3 linked regions of the Caenorhabditis elegans genome follow. The protein of the gene in region 3 purifies or fractionates together with the protein of the main gene of each other region. This does not show direct contact. Each region holds a gene or a part of one and is shown on either strand. Other genes may lie near its edges.

Region 1 (4,769 bases), on a different chromosome or scaffold from region 3:
AAAGGTTAGCAGAATAAAAAAAAATGGAAAAATCGTTTTAAGTTGTTTCAAATTGGTTTTTTTATTCGTGTGACTATTAAGAAAAATGAATCTTCTACATTTTTCAGGCGGTGACCGTCAATAATCGTTTCCAAATCCATCCAACACGATCCTCAATCATCATTCTTCAAACAAAAAAAATCACAAAATCTGAAAATTATTACCGTATATTCTCTATTAGTGCTGCATCTCCAGTAGTACTGCAGTCTCTAATAGTGCTGCACTCAAAAAGGGTCCGAAAATTAGTGCTGCAGTCTCTATTAGTGCTGCACCCCATTTTCTACTGAAAGAGTCACTCAATACATAGTTTTGACATTCTGGGGAGTGTTTTGTATATTTTTGAAGATTTCTAGTTAACTTACAAACATAATTGAGTTATTAGGTCATTTTTGTTACAAAATTTCACAATTTTAATGGATTTCTGCTTAAAAGGTGAGCATTTGTGACTAAAAACTAGTGATCTCCAATTGAAAATAGCCGTTCGAAAATTAGTGCTGCAGCCTCCAGTAATACTGCAGTCTCTAATAGTGCTGCACTCAAAAAGGGCCTGGAAATTAGTGCTGCATGCAGCACTAATAGAGAATATACGGTATCTCTGTTTCCATCTTGTTTTAACGTTTTATTTATTTTTCTGTTTGTGTTTTCTTCTCCAAACTTGAGATAAAGCCATCTTCCTCCATCGATTTTTTACAGATGTTTAAAAATAATTATTGAGGCAGGTGAAAATTTCCCAACACAATATCATTCTTTCTAACCGCATTTTTCCAGTTTTTCTTATTTATTTACATATAGATGACCTCAATTCTTCGAAAAGTGGAATGGGTTCGAGTAGCAGGGAAATGGACGAAAATGTCCGTCATGGGGTTGGATATTTCAGACGAAACGCTGAAAATTCAGAAGAAAAAGGAGAACGAGAATCGAGTGATTATTTTAATGATTCCAGGTAAATCGGGAAATTGCGCTTTTAAAAATTTAAGAAAATTTTAATTTCAGGAAATCCCGGAAACGAAGGATTCTACGCTCATTTCGGACGAGAAGTTTTGCAAAATTTGATAAAGAAAGATGAAGATGAGCAGAAAAACTTGAAAAATCAATATTTATTCTACACAGTTTCAAGTCTCAATCATGTTCGAATGCCAGATCATTTGAAAGATGATGGAGAACATCGAAATCATGGTAATAAATACAAATAAAACGAAGAACCGTTCACTCCAGCCTTTTAACTTATTTAGTTTCGCCGATTTCGCAGTATTTTTCGCCCTTTTGTTTTTTTTTCAAATACCTAACGAGACTCATGGATCCGGTGCGGAGCGCGTTTTTACGTCGATTATAATATATTTCCAGACCGAATTTCTCTGGAGGAACAAGTCAATCACAAACTATCATTTGTGAAAGAGCACCTGCCACGTGGAAAGCAACTGTACATTTTGGGGCATAGCATTGGTTCGTATATGATGTTAAGAATCATTCCTGAAGTGATAAAAGAAGGATTCCACGTGGAAAAAGCTGTTGGACTGTTTCCAACGATAGTTCATATGGCAAACTCACCAAATGGGAAACGATTACATGGAACTTTAGCTGTAAATTCAATTTCTTTATTTTAATTTTTAATTGTAAACTTTCAGACATTGAACCATCATGATTGGCTCACAAAAACGATTTGCTGGTGGGTGGATTACCTGCCAAACTCGATCAAAAAATTTCTTGTTGGATTGAACCTGAGACATCCTAATGTAAATTTTTTTTTGAATGTCAAGCAACAAAAAACATAATTTTTCAGACTCCCCCAGAGATCGTCGATGCGGCAGTTGAGCTTGTCCATATGGATGTGTTCAGAAATATAGTTCACATGTCAAACGATGAACTTGATATCGTTTTAGACCTAGATGAGCGTCTTTTGGAAAAACAAGACGTGGTTCATTTCTATTATGGCCTCAAGGATGGATGGTGTCCAGTGCAGCATGGTATTGACCTTGAAAACGTTGTGTAGATTGAAAATAAAATTTATAGGATACTCCATGCGGGACAGACTTGGTGAGGAGCAGGTCACATTGGACGAAGACAATTGTGAACACGCTTTTGTTATTTCTGAAGGAGACATTATGGCGAGAAATGTTATAAAATATTTCGATTGATCAGTTGCTCCGAGTTTTCCGTACTTCAACCTGTGATTGCATTACCTAGAATTTTATCTTTTAATAAATATAAAAATATTTGCACATTTTATTGTTTTTCCTTTTCTATGTGTTTGTTTCTAACACCTGTTAATATTTCTTCAATTGATTAATTGATTTTATTTAAGTATTTAACAGGAGCTCTAGTTATTACTGCCAGGATTAAGTGGTGACGAAACAAACTTTATTGCTCTCTACTGAATTCTAGTCTACTTAGGCTTAGTAAACATTAAAAAACCCCTTTTCAATTCCGAAAGTTCCGTTTTTAAATAAAAAATAAATAAAACGGCGCGAAAGCATGTGCGCTCTAATGCAAATTTGAAATCGAAGAGAGCGAAACAGCAGATTGGCGTGCTCTAGTCGTTTCAGTCATTACCTCGTTCTTTTGTTTCTTTGGAAACTGTTTTATACACGAGTCTTTAAATGTTTAAAAAGATATTTTGTAATTTTCCATTTTTGGGACATATACAGATCATTTGTCGCCCCGGTATTTTCACTATCAGTGGAAATGCAGAGAATAACAAGATATTTTAACAATTCGACATGTGTTATTCTTTTTCTGAATGTCTATCTTTTTGTTAATTCATTTCAATTTTCAAATTTTCAGTAACCCACCCCTCTCATGCCACCGAAGAAGCGAATTCGCGGGCCGAAGTTGCCAGCACTTCGTGAGGAAAAATCAACTGGTACAGATGTGGCTTCAGATGAATCATTCAACGAAAGTGCTGATTTTTTGAATAATGAAGAATTAAACAATGATCAAAACGATGCGGAAAATACAGTTTTGAGCGAAGGTGTATCCACTCTTAGAATCAATGAAAACATGACAAAAGAGGATCGAGCTTGTATTTCTGCAGCACTTTTCATAAAGTAAGTATCAAAATGAAAAAAAAAACTAAAGTATTTTATAGAAAAAGAGTCGTAGAATCAATTCGAACAGTTTTTCAATCTCGTGATGATATTAATGATGAAATACATACCAGTTCGCGGAAACTGATTGCAGCATTTAAAAAGGTTAATTTATTTTAAAAATCGAAATAAAAATAATTTTAAAAATTATCCAATTTTCAGGCTGATCAGAATCGTAAGAAAAAGGTCGATTTAATGAAAGTTTTCCTTGATGAAATAGATGTCCGACTTTCAATGATTATCGAAGAGGTGACTGTTCCTGAGCATCGGGCTCGTGTCTTTAAATTAATCGCAGTGACAATAACTGAAATTCAAGCTTTCAAGCTTCCATCGGATCTCCTCGATTTTATTATCAATTTTATTAACACTGTGAGTATTCAATTTAATAAAAATCCGCATAATAAAACTTATTTTCAGTGGGGACATAGTGATAATGTTGCTGCGAGAATTAACACGACCTGCTTCATCAGTTATATATTCGAGACAGGGAAACGATATTTAACAACTGAGGGTGAATATTCTGGATTTGAAGTCAAGATTGCAGCTAAAATGTTTTTACAATTGAAGAGAGCACTGCTTGACAAGGAGGTTTGTTTCATTCAAAAGTTGATTCAATTCTGAAAAGCTGAAATTGAACTTTTTTCAGCAAACCGCCAGAGTTCCAGCTATTCGAGGCCTAGGATTCTTGCAAGAAATACCAATTCCATCGAATTGGCCAGTAGATGCTATGAAACATTCACCAAGAGAACGTAAGTTTTCAAACTTTTATAAAGGCGCACTAAATGAAGCAGCCGTAGAATTCAAAATTAAACTACCATATATTTTTTGGATCAAAGCACAAAAAAATTTATGGTAGTTTAATTTTGAATTTTGCGGCTGCTTCATTGTTTTTTCCTTGCATTTTACTGTTCAAAGTTGTTGAAAATCAGTTTTTTAATCCTTTTCACAGGAAAAACAAACATTTTAAATGAAAAATTCATACGTATTTTGAAACTTGGCCCATATAAAGAAATCCGTGCGCCTAGCATGCCAAGGTGTTGTGAAATTACTATACAATACCAGCGTTTGTTCTTTTTAAATTACAAATTTCAGTTCTTCTCCGTTCCTGTAGAGACACAGCATGGGAATGCCGACTTGTTGCAGTTCAATCAATGGTACCATTAGAAACAGATGTTAGACTACTTTCAGACATTGTCTATTATGACAAGTGTCTCAATGTTCGTGTCGCAGCACTTGAACAGTTTTCAAACCTCAGGCCAAACAAACATGTTCGCGAAAAAATTGAAATGCTTGATTTATGCCTGAAAGACCATGAAGGTTTGTTTGTAATTTATGACTAATGATATTAAATTGTAATTTTCCAGTAAATATTCGAGATGCGGCAAAGGAAGTTCTGAAGAATTGGGTTCGTAATTTGTCAACGAGATGGAGCGAAAGTCAAAAGAGCAAAGATTCCAATGATGTTGTCATTTTGAATTCTAATTCTGAATCCACAACAGGAGAAGAGAATAAAATGAAAGGATATATTCTTGCGGCCCAAGCACTTACATTGCTATGGCTAACGGGTGCTCTTGAAACATTGGAAGGTCACTCAAACTTGAGACGATTGATAACTCATACACTTGATGTTATTCGTCAAATGTACGT
Region 2 (4,769 bases), on a different chromosome or scaffold from region 3:
AGAGAAAGACACGGGCGAAAAAAAAACAGCAGAAAACGCAAAACGCATGATATTCTCTTTGTGTATTCTTTTACTTCTACCTTTACAACAGCGGTGCTCTCTCAAAGAGAGCACATAGGCGTCACGTCTTGATACACATTTGATGATGAAAAGGAAAAATGACGATGAGAAATGAGGAAGCTTGAGAAGAAAACCGAAGAAGAAAGATTGGGGTTTGTTGAGTTGTGTTCCTTTGGAATGTGGTATGAGAACTTGAGAAATGGGAACATCTGGAATATAAAACTATGAGGAATGTTCGGTGATCTTTCGTATTTTTTGCCATGTCAATGGAACTGAAACCGTCTAACTTGATGATAATGACCAAGATAGTCCCTTCAGTTTTGGAACAAGAGTAACAGACTCAGCAACAATATTTGTTTCAGATTGTCTTGATAAATTGCCAAATCTAAGAACGATACAATTTAGAACAATATCGCATGTTTCAACAAAGAGCTCAGTGATACTACAGTACACCTACATCACCAATTACTCCTACAGTACCAATACAGTACCCCAAAAATATATATGTTTTCTGAGTGTTCTCAGCAGTTTTCTCGTATTTTTACTATATTACAACAATTGTTTTAAATTTTCGCGGATTGTGACCTTAAAATACATTTGATTTCGACAGAAATCCGAGTGACCATGAATTTCTGAAATAAAATAAATGCATTTTAATCGTCTTCTTGTTCAATTGTTTTCCACGGAGGAATGTTCTGAAAATTGCAAATGTTTATTTTTTAAACTTTAAATTCAATTTATATGTCGATAAATTTATTTATCGATTAACAAAACAGAGAAACAAAAGCATTCTAAAAACTAATAAGGCATGAAAATAAAGTTACTACCACTTTTATCTAATTATTCGCTTCCAAGCTCTACACGAACAAAATCGAGAATGTTAGCATTGTGGGATTTTAGGTACTCATGAACAGATTGAGATGGATTCAACATGAAGGCTTGGCGGAGAAGAGCAGTTTCCGATTCATCAATATTAGTTACAACAACTGGATCAGCATTTGGATCATGCCCTTCTTGACTACGAAGCCCTTCTTGAGTTTTCACAGATTCTGCAGCTTCGCCGAGGGATTCCGGGGACATTCCGATAATGTGCTGGCATATCTGTCCGGCAAGTTGCTGACTACTGATTGACCCTGTAAATGTTAAGACTTAATTTTTTACTTTATTTCTTTGTTTCACCTGGACTCGATTGATTTAGAGCGATGAGTGAAATGAACCGTCCCATCGGGATATCATCAGTTCCATCTTTAGGATGTGAAGCTCCAAACAAAGTTGTTCCTTCGGGAGCTTTAAAAGCCTTAACTCTTCTCACTGTCATGTTCTCACCAAGCTTTCCGATTGAAAGGGAGAGCACTTCACGCATATTTTTTCCGTCGGAATCGGTCAGATCCCCAAGATCATAGGTGAATTCTTGAAGTTTTGAGCCGCTCGATATAGATTGTGGCTTAGCTTTTGCGAGAACAGAGTTGGAGATGTTTGACAACAAATCCTTGAAAGCTCCAGATCGCGCCACAAAATCAGTTTCACAACTGAGTTCTACCACAGCTGCTGTTGAGTTGTCCGTGACTACAGATACAAGACCATTCGATGTTACACGAGTTCCAAGTCTGGAATATTCTATAACTATTAAAATAATTCCTTGTGAAGTCAACATTCCAAATTAAAAAAATTTCAAAATAAACACTTACTTTGCCGCTTTGGCCCATCCTTCCTTCGCTGCAGCTTCTTTCAACCATTTTACAGCACTATCCATATCATTTTCGCCAAACTGAATAAGTGCTTTACGACAATTCACATAACTATAACCAGTCTTTTTTCGAAGAGCCATTAGAGCCTGAAAAACAATTATTTTTTATTTTTTAAAATTAATTAGGGTTCCTAGATTTTAATACCTCTTTAGAGACTTTCTTTTCGGCCTCAGCCAAGTTTCGACTAGTCGTTGATAGTAGACGTACAAATGGAGCTCTAGCAAACATTTCTAAAATTGGAAACTTTAGTTTTCAGTCAATATTGATAATTATTTTAAGAGAATAAAGCAAATTATGCAATTTTCTGGGCATTTTTTGCATTAAAAAATGAAAAGGCAAGTGCGCCCCAATGAGAAAGACGGCCGCGCGAAAGAATTCGTTTTGAACATAACAAGGAAAATGTGTTTCTTTTTTTTTAATTGCGAGGTAAATTATATTATTGAATTATTTTATTGATTATTTATAATTATTTTTAGGTGAAAACTTTAATACTATTATTTTTTGCTATTTTTTTGTTGAAATAAATTCTATAATTCCATAGAAATTTTCAGTAAAGAGATCAATGCCGAAGAGCAATCCGGTAACACCTAACAAACAACCATCAGAAGACTGGAATGAGTTACTCACAGAGTTCCGTGGAAAAGGAGGTCGGGCTCTTCAGAAAACATTCATCAGAAAATTGTGGGCAGTTCAAGAAGATATTATTGCCAATGCAAATCCATCGACTCTTCGGTGTATTTTCTTCGCACCAGCCTTGTTGATTTGTCCGGAAGGTATAAAATTATCAGCTGAAATTCTCCCAAAAATTGGTGTTGGAAATGGACTGATACTACTCGAGAAGTTAATACTAAAGTTCAATCTCACCGAGTAAAGTTTATACGCTGAAGAATTCCATTTATATATATTTTTGCAGCACTGAATGTCAAAGGTATGGTGAAGTATTCGTCACAGCTTGGAGAAATGCATATCAGGAGGCTAACTTTGATTTGACAGAGGAATTGGAGACCGATGTGATCAGTGTCATGTGTCAGCATGCATTATATGCTCACAGGCCTACCTGCACTAAATTTCAAAATGTGATTGCCGCATTTGCACACGCGAAAAAACTGGACAAAAGTGTAGATGAAATGGTGACAAGGCTTCTCAATGGATGTCTTTACCGAGCGCTGGACGCTCCAAATTACATTGTACAGTCATCAGCTGCAGAAGTATTTTTCAATTTTTACCCACTAATTGGCGAGGATACTGAAGACATGGATAGGATAATGGAAAACCAACATCGATATATGATGGACTTATTACGTAGTGATGTTATTTCCATTCGAAGCGAAGCCACGAAACATGTCTTGAAGGCAATCAGCGAATTCTGGCTTCTTATTCCAAAAAATATCGTGAAGGAACTCATGGGATACATCATTGATACAGTCGCGAAAGACACTGTTGTCAGCGTCCGCGTCGCCGTTTTTGAAGGTCTTAATGAAATGGCATTTGTTCCGGCATGTCTCACAGCATTCGAATATGGATTGAAATGTGCCGTTGATCCAGCACTACAGGATAAATCTGAACGAGTTCGTCTTGCTGCTTACCAAATAATTTCTCGTCTGAAGAATCATAAATTTATTAGGTAAAATGAACCCAAATCAACAAACTAAAAAATAAATTTTCAGTGTGTTCGATATCATTACTCGAGATGATGCCATTGCGAAACTCGATCTGGAAAACGTAGAGACCTGCCGCCGTCAACTGATTCCAATTATGCATATTTGTCTTCCTATCTCGAAAAGTCTGGATGAAGCATACTATCGTCCTCGTGTCAACTACATGTTAGGAAAAAGTCGATTGGCTCTTTTGAGTTACTTCCGATTGCTTGGCCCAATGAAAATCATTGATGCATCCCAAGCATCCAAACTTATCGAAATGTTTATAACCTGGGCATATCGTTATCTTCGTAAAAAGGATGGCCCTCCATTACCAGAGACTGCCGAAGGATACAAAAAAGCGAGAGCTTATCTTGAGTGTGCTCTCATTCTGTACATGTCATGCAAAGGAGTTAGTTTTCTATTTCTCAAATTTAAAATTGAAGACCTTTTTTAAAACATTATAAACTTCTAAACTTTTTCAGATGCTGATGTCAGATGGCGATGGAACTTCAAAAGCGAAATGTGATCAAATATTTGGAAAAGTTGTCAAGGAAATATTTGAAAAATACGCCAACACTCCTATTCTCGGAACTGCGACAGCAATCAGCAGTGTCATTCCTAAAGATTACCTTAAATCAATTGCTAATGATGTTCTCGCAAGACTGGAAGACGACGATGTTCCTCCAGAAGCAGTTGAGCCGTTTCTTGAATCTGCAATTCATTTCAACCCGGATTCTGTTTTTGATTCATTCGATAGTGGGCTTAATGTTCTTGTAAATTTGTATGGAACGAAACAGAGTAAGAAGAAACGACGTGAATTGGAGGATCCAGAAGATGTACTGATTATGACGTTGAACCGTCTCAAATATTTGCTACAGAGTCACAGTACATCAAATCTTATTGCAATGAAAGATGAATACCGAACTAAAGTCTTGGATTTGTTGAAGGTTTGTGTATTAGTTCATTATTGAAACAATAATATTATATTTAGAAAATTGATCTAATTCGAGAAGGAATTGAAATTAGGCTTGCAAAAGAAGAAGGCCAGGAGCACACTCTCAGTGATGATGTTCTTCTGTCGATACTCGAATTTAGATTCATTTTGCCCTTTTTCGCTGCAACTAATGGATCTGAAGATGCTGCGGATCGTAACCAAACTATCGAGTCAATGAAAAACCTTCTTCTTTGGTTTGAAAAAAATATTTCAAGTCAAATGGCGACTTTTGGTGAACACAATCAAGATTTTCTCATTCAATTAACAAGTACATTCTTGAATTGTGTAAACGTGTCACTATCTGCGTATGATTTCAAAACGAGACCT
Region 3 (4,769 bases):
ATCAATGACACCGAGATCACCAAGACGACCGTGAAAACTTTTAATTCTTCCAGCTTCTTTTTCCTTCATTAAGGCTTGAATAACTTTATTCGAACTTGAGCAAGACGAGTTTTGCTGGCGAAGAGTTTCGAGACGATCACGCGTTTTTGCCAACTGTAAAATAGGATTTATTTAAATTTATCAGGCTTTTTGAAAACCTACATCTTGATTCTTCTGTCTTGCCGTATTTCGAAGAGTTGGCAATTCTGTACTCAGTTGTTTTAACTTATCATTCCAAGAATCAAATTCCGGCTTCAGCTTATCTAACTCATCCTTCTCTTTCGCATAACTTTCTTCTGAAGATTCTAATCGTTTCTTCAGTTCGATAAGCTTATCCGTTCCAGAATTCGCGAGCTTCTTTAAATCCTCGAAATCTTCCCGTGCAATCCTTGCTTCACCTCGAACTTTGTTAAATTCGTTGCTCTTCTGCGCCCAAGTCTCTTGAATCTTCTTTTGTTCTTCTTTTGGCGCTTCAGAGCGTTTTTCAAATTCATCAAGATTCTTGTCGGCTTCCTCGTTAGCTGTTTTCTCTATTTCAAGCAACTGTTCCACTTCTTCCTGACATTTTGCGATTTTTCTCTCCGCCTTTTCGGGTGCTGCTTCCAGATTTGATCGCTTTTTAACCTCTTTTTCCTTCTCAGCTTCCGCCTTTGAAATATTAGCTTGATGCCTTTTCAAAGCCTCCTTCCTGCGAGTCTCTTCAGTGCCCAAGTCGCTCAATTCCTTAGATAGACTATCAAAGTTTTTGTCGAGTTTCGAACGCTCTTCAATCATAACTTTCTGAGCTTCCTCAGATTGTTTGTATTCGTTTTTGTTGGTATCCAGCGTTTCAGCAATCGATTTCATTTCTTCTTTCATCTTGTCAAGTTCGGCTTGTTTTGGAGCAATTTTATCTAGGTATCGTTGCCTTAAAACGTTAAATGTTATTTTAACCTGGAATATTTCAGAACTACCGTCTTCTTTGCTCCAATTTCATATGAATCGTTGTAGCCTCGTTTTCTTTCATCAGAAACTCAATTGCAGCTCTAACTGGATTCTCCATAGCTACTTTGCTGTTTCTGGCGTGATCACGAGCGATTCTTTGTTGAGAAAGATCACAAGTAAGACGATTGACGCGTCGCTGGAATAATTTAACAAAGGGCTCGAGTCGGTTTGTTCCGATAATATCCTCCAAATATTCAACCATTCCAGTTTCACTTTTGGTGGTTTTCACTGGTTTCATCATTGCAATTTGTTCGACTTCTCCCTGAAAAAAATGTTTATTACCGGTTTTATTGTCACTTTTACCTGAAGAATTAGAAAACGATTATGCTCAATATCAATGTCAACGCGTCGTAGGCGTGCTTCAACTTCATTCTTCGTTGCCGGTCGACCATCGATAGCATATGAGCTTGAGTTATTTTGAAAAGCAGTTCTAGAGATTGTGAACTCAGAATCCTTGACGACTTCGTAATGCCCAGGCTGAAAAAAAGCAAATTTATATTTTATTAGATTCTCTGATTCACTTACAATATCGACGATCCGCTGAAAATGAATAGTGACTGTGCATTTGTCTGGATTTCTTCCAGCACTTTTGTGAATCAAATTTGACACTTTTGCAGAACGAATTTTGGAAGCACGGAAACCGAAAACGAATAAGAGCGAATCGATTAAATTAGACTTTCCAGATCCATTTGGACCGATAATTGATGTGAAACTTTTGTGAAATGGTCCAATGGAAGCCTTGCCGAAGTAACTCTTGAAATTGTCCACTTCAACATTGCGAATCATCAAACGATCCGCCCGATTCGGTTTTGTAAGGAAATCGGGTCGCGATGGCAGTTGCTGTAAAATGTAATGACTTTAATATTAAAAACAGAGTAACATACCAATGAGAAAAGATCACTGTCGTCGTCCTCTCCGTCGCTTCCATCAAATTTTTCATTTACCGCTCTCTGAATAAAAATTTCAGTTTTATTGCTGCTTTTAAATATTCTGAGAGGGATACCTGTAGTTCTTCTTCCGGGTCCTTTGATCCTTCCTTGTGTCGGTTCACAGGCTTCGTTGTCTTTTTCTGCGGCTTTTTAACAGGAGCGTCATCAAAATCAGAATCAGATTCGTCTGATTGTGGCGGCGCCGCCGAAGTCTTCGGAGGCATCAACCCTAAAATACGTTGATTTTTAGGATTTGAGTGCTTAATATGAAAAAGACATTTCCCAACAAAAACAAAAAGTGGGACAGCAGCGGCTAAACAATTATTGGCGGTGAAATTCGAACAAAATTTTGGCGCGCATACAAGTGTGTGCAAACACCGTGACGCGCAAGTGCGACCCATACATTTAATTATACGACGAGAGCTAGAATGAAGTACGGTAATTAATTAAACATTTCTGAATTGCTTCAACATAAAATAAGTTTTCAAATAAAAATGACAACACCCGCTGTAAAAATGGTTGTCGCGTATGTGACAGCTCCGAGTAAGGAAGTTGCAATGACTGTGGCAAGGTATTTTTTTGTTTTCTGTCTACCAAAACATAATTTCATTTCAGAACAACTGTCACTGAAGCATTAGCCGCTTGCGCCAATGTTATTCCGGAAGTCACATCTGTGTAAGTATTTTATCTTTTTTAAATCTGTGCGAGAATCCAGATATTCAGATACAAATGGCAAGGAAAAATTGAAGAAGATCAAGAGCATGTCGTGATCTTGAAAACTGTAGAAAGCAAAGTCGAAGAGCTATCAGCTGTATGTTTTTATTTCGGATCACTAAGATTTTCATTCAATTTCAGCGTGTTCGATCTCTTCATCCGGCTGAAACTCCGTGCTTCTTCACACTGGCCATTGACAAAATAACTCCCGATTTTGGAGGATGGATTGTGGATTCTACGAATTCTTCAACTGCGAAACATTGAAACTTAAAACTTTATTCATATTTATTTCTACCAACTAAACATTAAATCAACGGGAACTGATAAATACATACAAACAGATTTGGCTAAGGAAAAAAACATCGTAATAAGAAAAAATGCTCCGAAAATTTGAAGATTCCAAAATAACGATTTGAGCATGCTTTTTTGGGGATTGTCTTGAAAGCTTCAAATTTTTTTTTCGAGCGATTCTGATGTGATTTAATGAATTTTTTTCAAAGAGATCGAGTTGAACGGGAAAGACAGGGCTATCATTAACTAGCTAGCGAGCATCACTTCGAACTCCAACAGCTTTGTCTACAATGTTAAGCGAGAAGACCATCGGGACAGCAATCTTGTATGCATGGCGTTTGTATGTATGATAATCATATTCCGTCCAAAATAACTGAAAAACATTGAAATGTTTTCTCATATATGTTCAATCATTCTTACTTTTTGCTCCTGAATAATTATCTCAAAGATCCTATCCATGCTTTTCTTTTCGTTATTGTATTGTGTCTCCCATCCCGGAAAGTCTTCACACATGAACTGAAAATTCGAAGTTGAAAAGAAATCCACTAAAAAAACTCTCACTTTGTGGATGCTGTATGTAGATTCTGAAGCGGACTTTGAACTAACATATTGATAGATCATAGAAAACTCACAGTCTCCAATTTCATGGAAACCGAGAAATTTAATTACTTGGTTGACCTTCACCTTAAAAATATTGATTTACTTTCTTGACCAATCAAAATATAATAGCTTACTCTGTTCATATTCTCAGAATCCGAGGGCATTATCAAGTTGAACTTCACGTAAAGGCTCTCTTCATTCAACAGCGACAAGAGTGTAAATGAATGATGGTTCTGTATCCAGGACCTTGGGATCACTTTCTAAACGTACTAAATTTCTCCCTTGTTTAACAATAAGATTAAATTATTACCTGAACCTCTTCCTCAAAATCAGTGTAATTAAACCCATCTGGATTTTTCTGATCAAGTTTCTGCAGCACGTACATGGTTTGCGGAAAAAATCTCAAATTTTTTGCCCACCAAATTTCAGCGAGTCGTCTTGCTTCCCTACAGAAAACCGAATAATAAAATGCATAAGGTGCTTGATAAAATACTTTTTCAAACTAGCATCTGTTGAAGGTTTCGTTGACACTGCTGTAAGGAAAGAAGAATATTGCATTTGGAACTCGCTCCCTCCTATGAGATTCATGCGAGCAATTCTTTCAGTTATATCCAATTCCTGAAGGTAACCCGTTTGGTTTTAATTTTCCAAAACTTCGGCATTCTACCTGAGCCTCGTGATTGTTTTCGCGTGCCGATTCTTCCTCCAATGGTGATGGCGTGCTCAGGTTTGTCGAAGAATGCGCAAAGTCCTGATCAATCGGCGCAAACTTGAACAGGACATTGTGATTTTCATCTGAAAAGAAAGAAATAATAAACAATTCTCAAAAAGAAAAGAATCACCATTATCAAGAATGCATTTTTTATCCAAAAGATTGATTCCTTGGATGTACCTTTCGATTGCCATTTTGGATTTTCCTGGTTCAGTAATTCGATGCAACTCATCCTTAAAAAAGGAAAGTTATACTTTCAAAATTCATTTTGATAGAACTTCAATTCCCCGTTGGATTTTAGAAGGTGCAGAAAATGTGACTCCAGAGGAATTTCAATTTTAAGAAAAGCTTGCAAAATAGCCGCAATTTCTTAGGATCAAACGGAGAGGTCTCAGAACTTATACAAATTATAAACTACCTCGAATTCCTTTTTCATCACCGTTTTAAACATCGTCTTGAATTCCTCCAGGCTCATCTCCATTCTCCCAGTTTTTACGAAG

Evidence for each region.
Region 1: the proteins of smc-4 (region 3) and capg-1 purify together in Caenorhabditis elegans (affinity purification with western blotting; 2 studies listed by BioGRID, with this or other methods). This does not show direct contact.
Region 2: the proteins of smc-4 (region 3) and capg-2 purify together in Caenorhabditis elegans (affinity purification with western blotting; one study listed by BioGRID). This does not show direct contact.

What each region holds. Positions count from the first base shown.
Region 1 is NC_003279.8:7,637,830-7,642,598, reverse strand, and holds the start of capg-1 (Condensin complex subunit capg-1), read left to right. Parts: upstream 1-2,813; 5' UTR 2,814-2,835; coding exon 2,836-3,083; intron 3,084-3,124; coding exon 3,125-3,227; intron 3,228-3,284; coding exon 3,285-3,491; intron 3,492-3,539; coding exon 3,540-3,710; intron 3,711-3,768; coding exon 3,769-3,871; intron 3,872-4,214; coding exon 4,215-4,439; intron 4,440-4,486; coding exon 4,487-4,769. Other genes in the region: ncbp-2 (Nuclear cap-binding protein subunit 2), read left to right, coding at 1-4, 108-124; F26A3.1 (Lipid droplet-associated hydrolase), read left to right, coding at 832-982, 1,033-1,215, 1,384-1,619, 1,665-1,772, 1,820-2,003, 2,050-2,174.
Region 2 is NC_003283.11:12,269,514-12,274,282, forward strand, and holds the start of capg-2 (CAP-G condensin subunit), read left to right. Parts: upstream 1-2,359; 5' UTR 2,360-2,370; coding exon 2,371-2,675; intron 2,676-2,721; coding exon 2,722-3,432; intron 3,433-3,475; coding exon 3,476-3,857; intron 3,858-3,930; coding exon 3,931-4,395; intron 4,396-4,439; coding exon 4,440-4,769. Other genes in the region: tsfm-1 (Elongation factor Ts, mitochondrial), read right to left, coding at 901-1,193, 1,240-1,667, 1,749-1,894, 1,953-2,036.
Region 3 is NC_003281.10:4,584,913-4,589,681, reverse strand, and holds the start of smc-4 (Structural maintenance of chromosomes protein 4), read right to left. Parts: upstream 2,182-4,769; 5' UTR 2,177-2,181; coding exon 2,027-2,176; intron 1,974-2,026; coding exon 1,908-1,973; intron 1,864-1,907; coding exon 1,549-1,863; intron 1,501-1,548; coding exon 1,327-1,500; intron 1,286-1,326; coding exon 993-1,285; intron 947-992; coding exon 202-946; intron 154-201; coding exon 1-153. Other genes in the region: F35G12.7 (Divalent-cation tolerance protein CutA), read left to right, coding at 2,447-2,523, 2,568-2,627, 2,676-2,763, 2,808-2,930; F35G12.5 (SPK domain-containing protein), read right to left, coding at 3,208-3,330, 3,378-3,473, 3,519-3,641, 3,692-3,817, 3,868-4,003, 4,051-4,175, 4,225-4,352, 4,400-4,502 and 1 more. UniProt on the Caenorhabditis elegans protein: Central component of the condensin I complex, a complex required for conversion of interphase chromatin into mitotic-like condense chromosomes. The condensin I complex introduces positive supercoils into relaxed DNA in the presence of type I topoisomerases.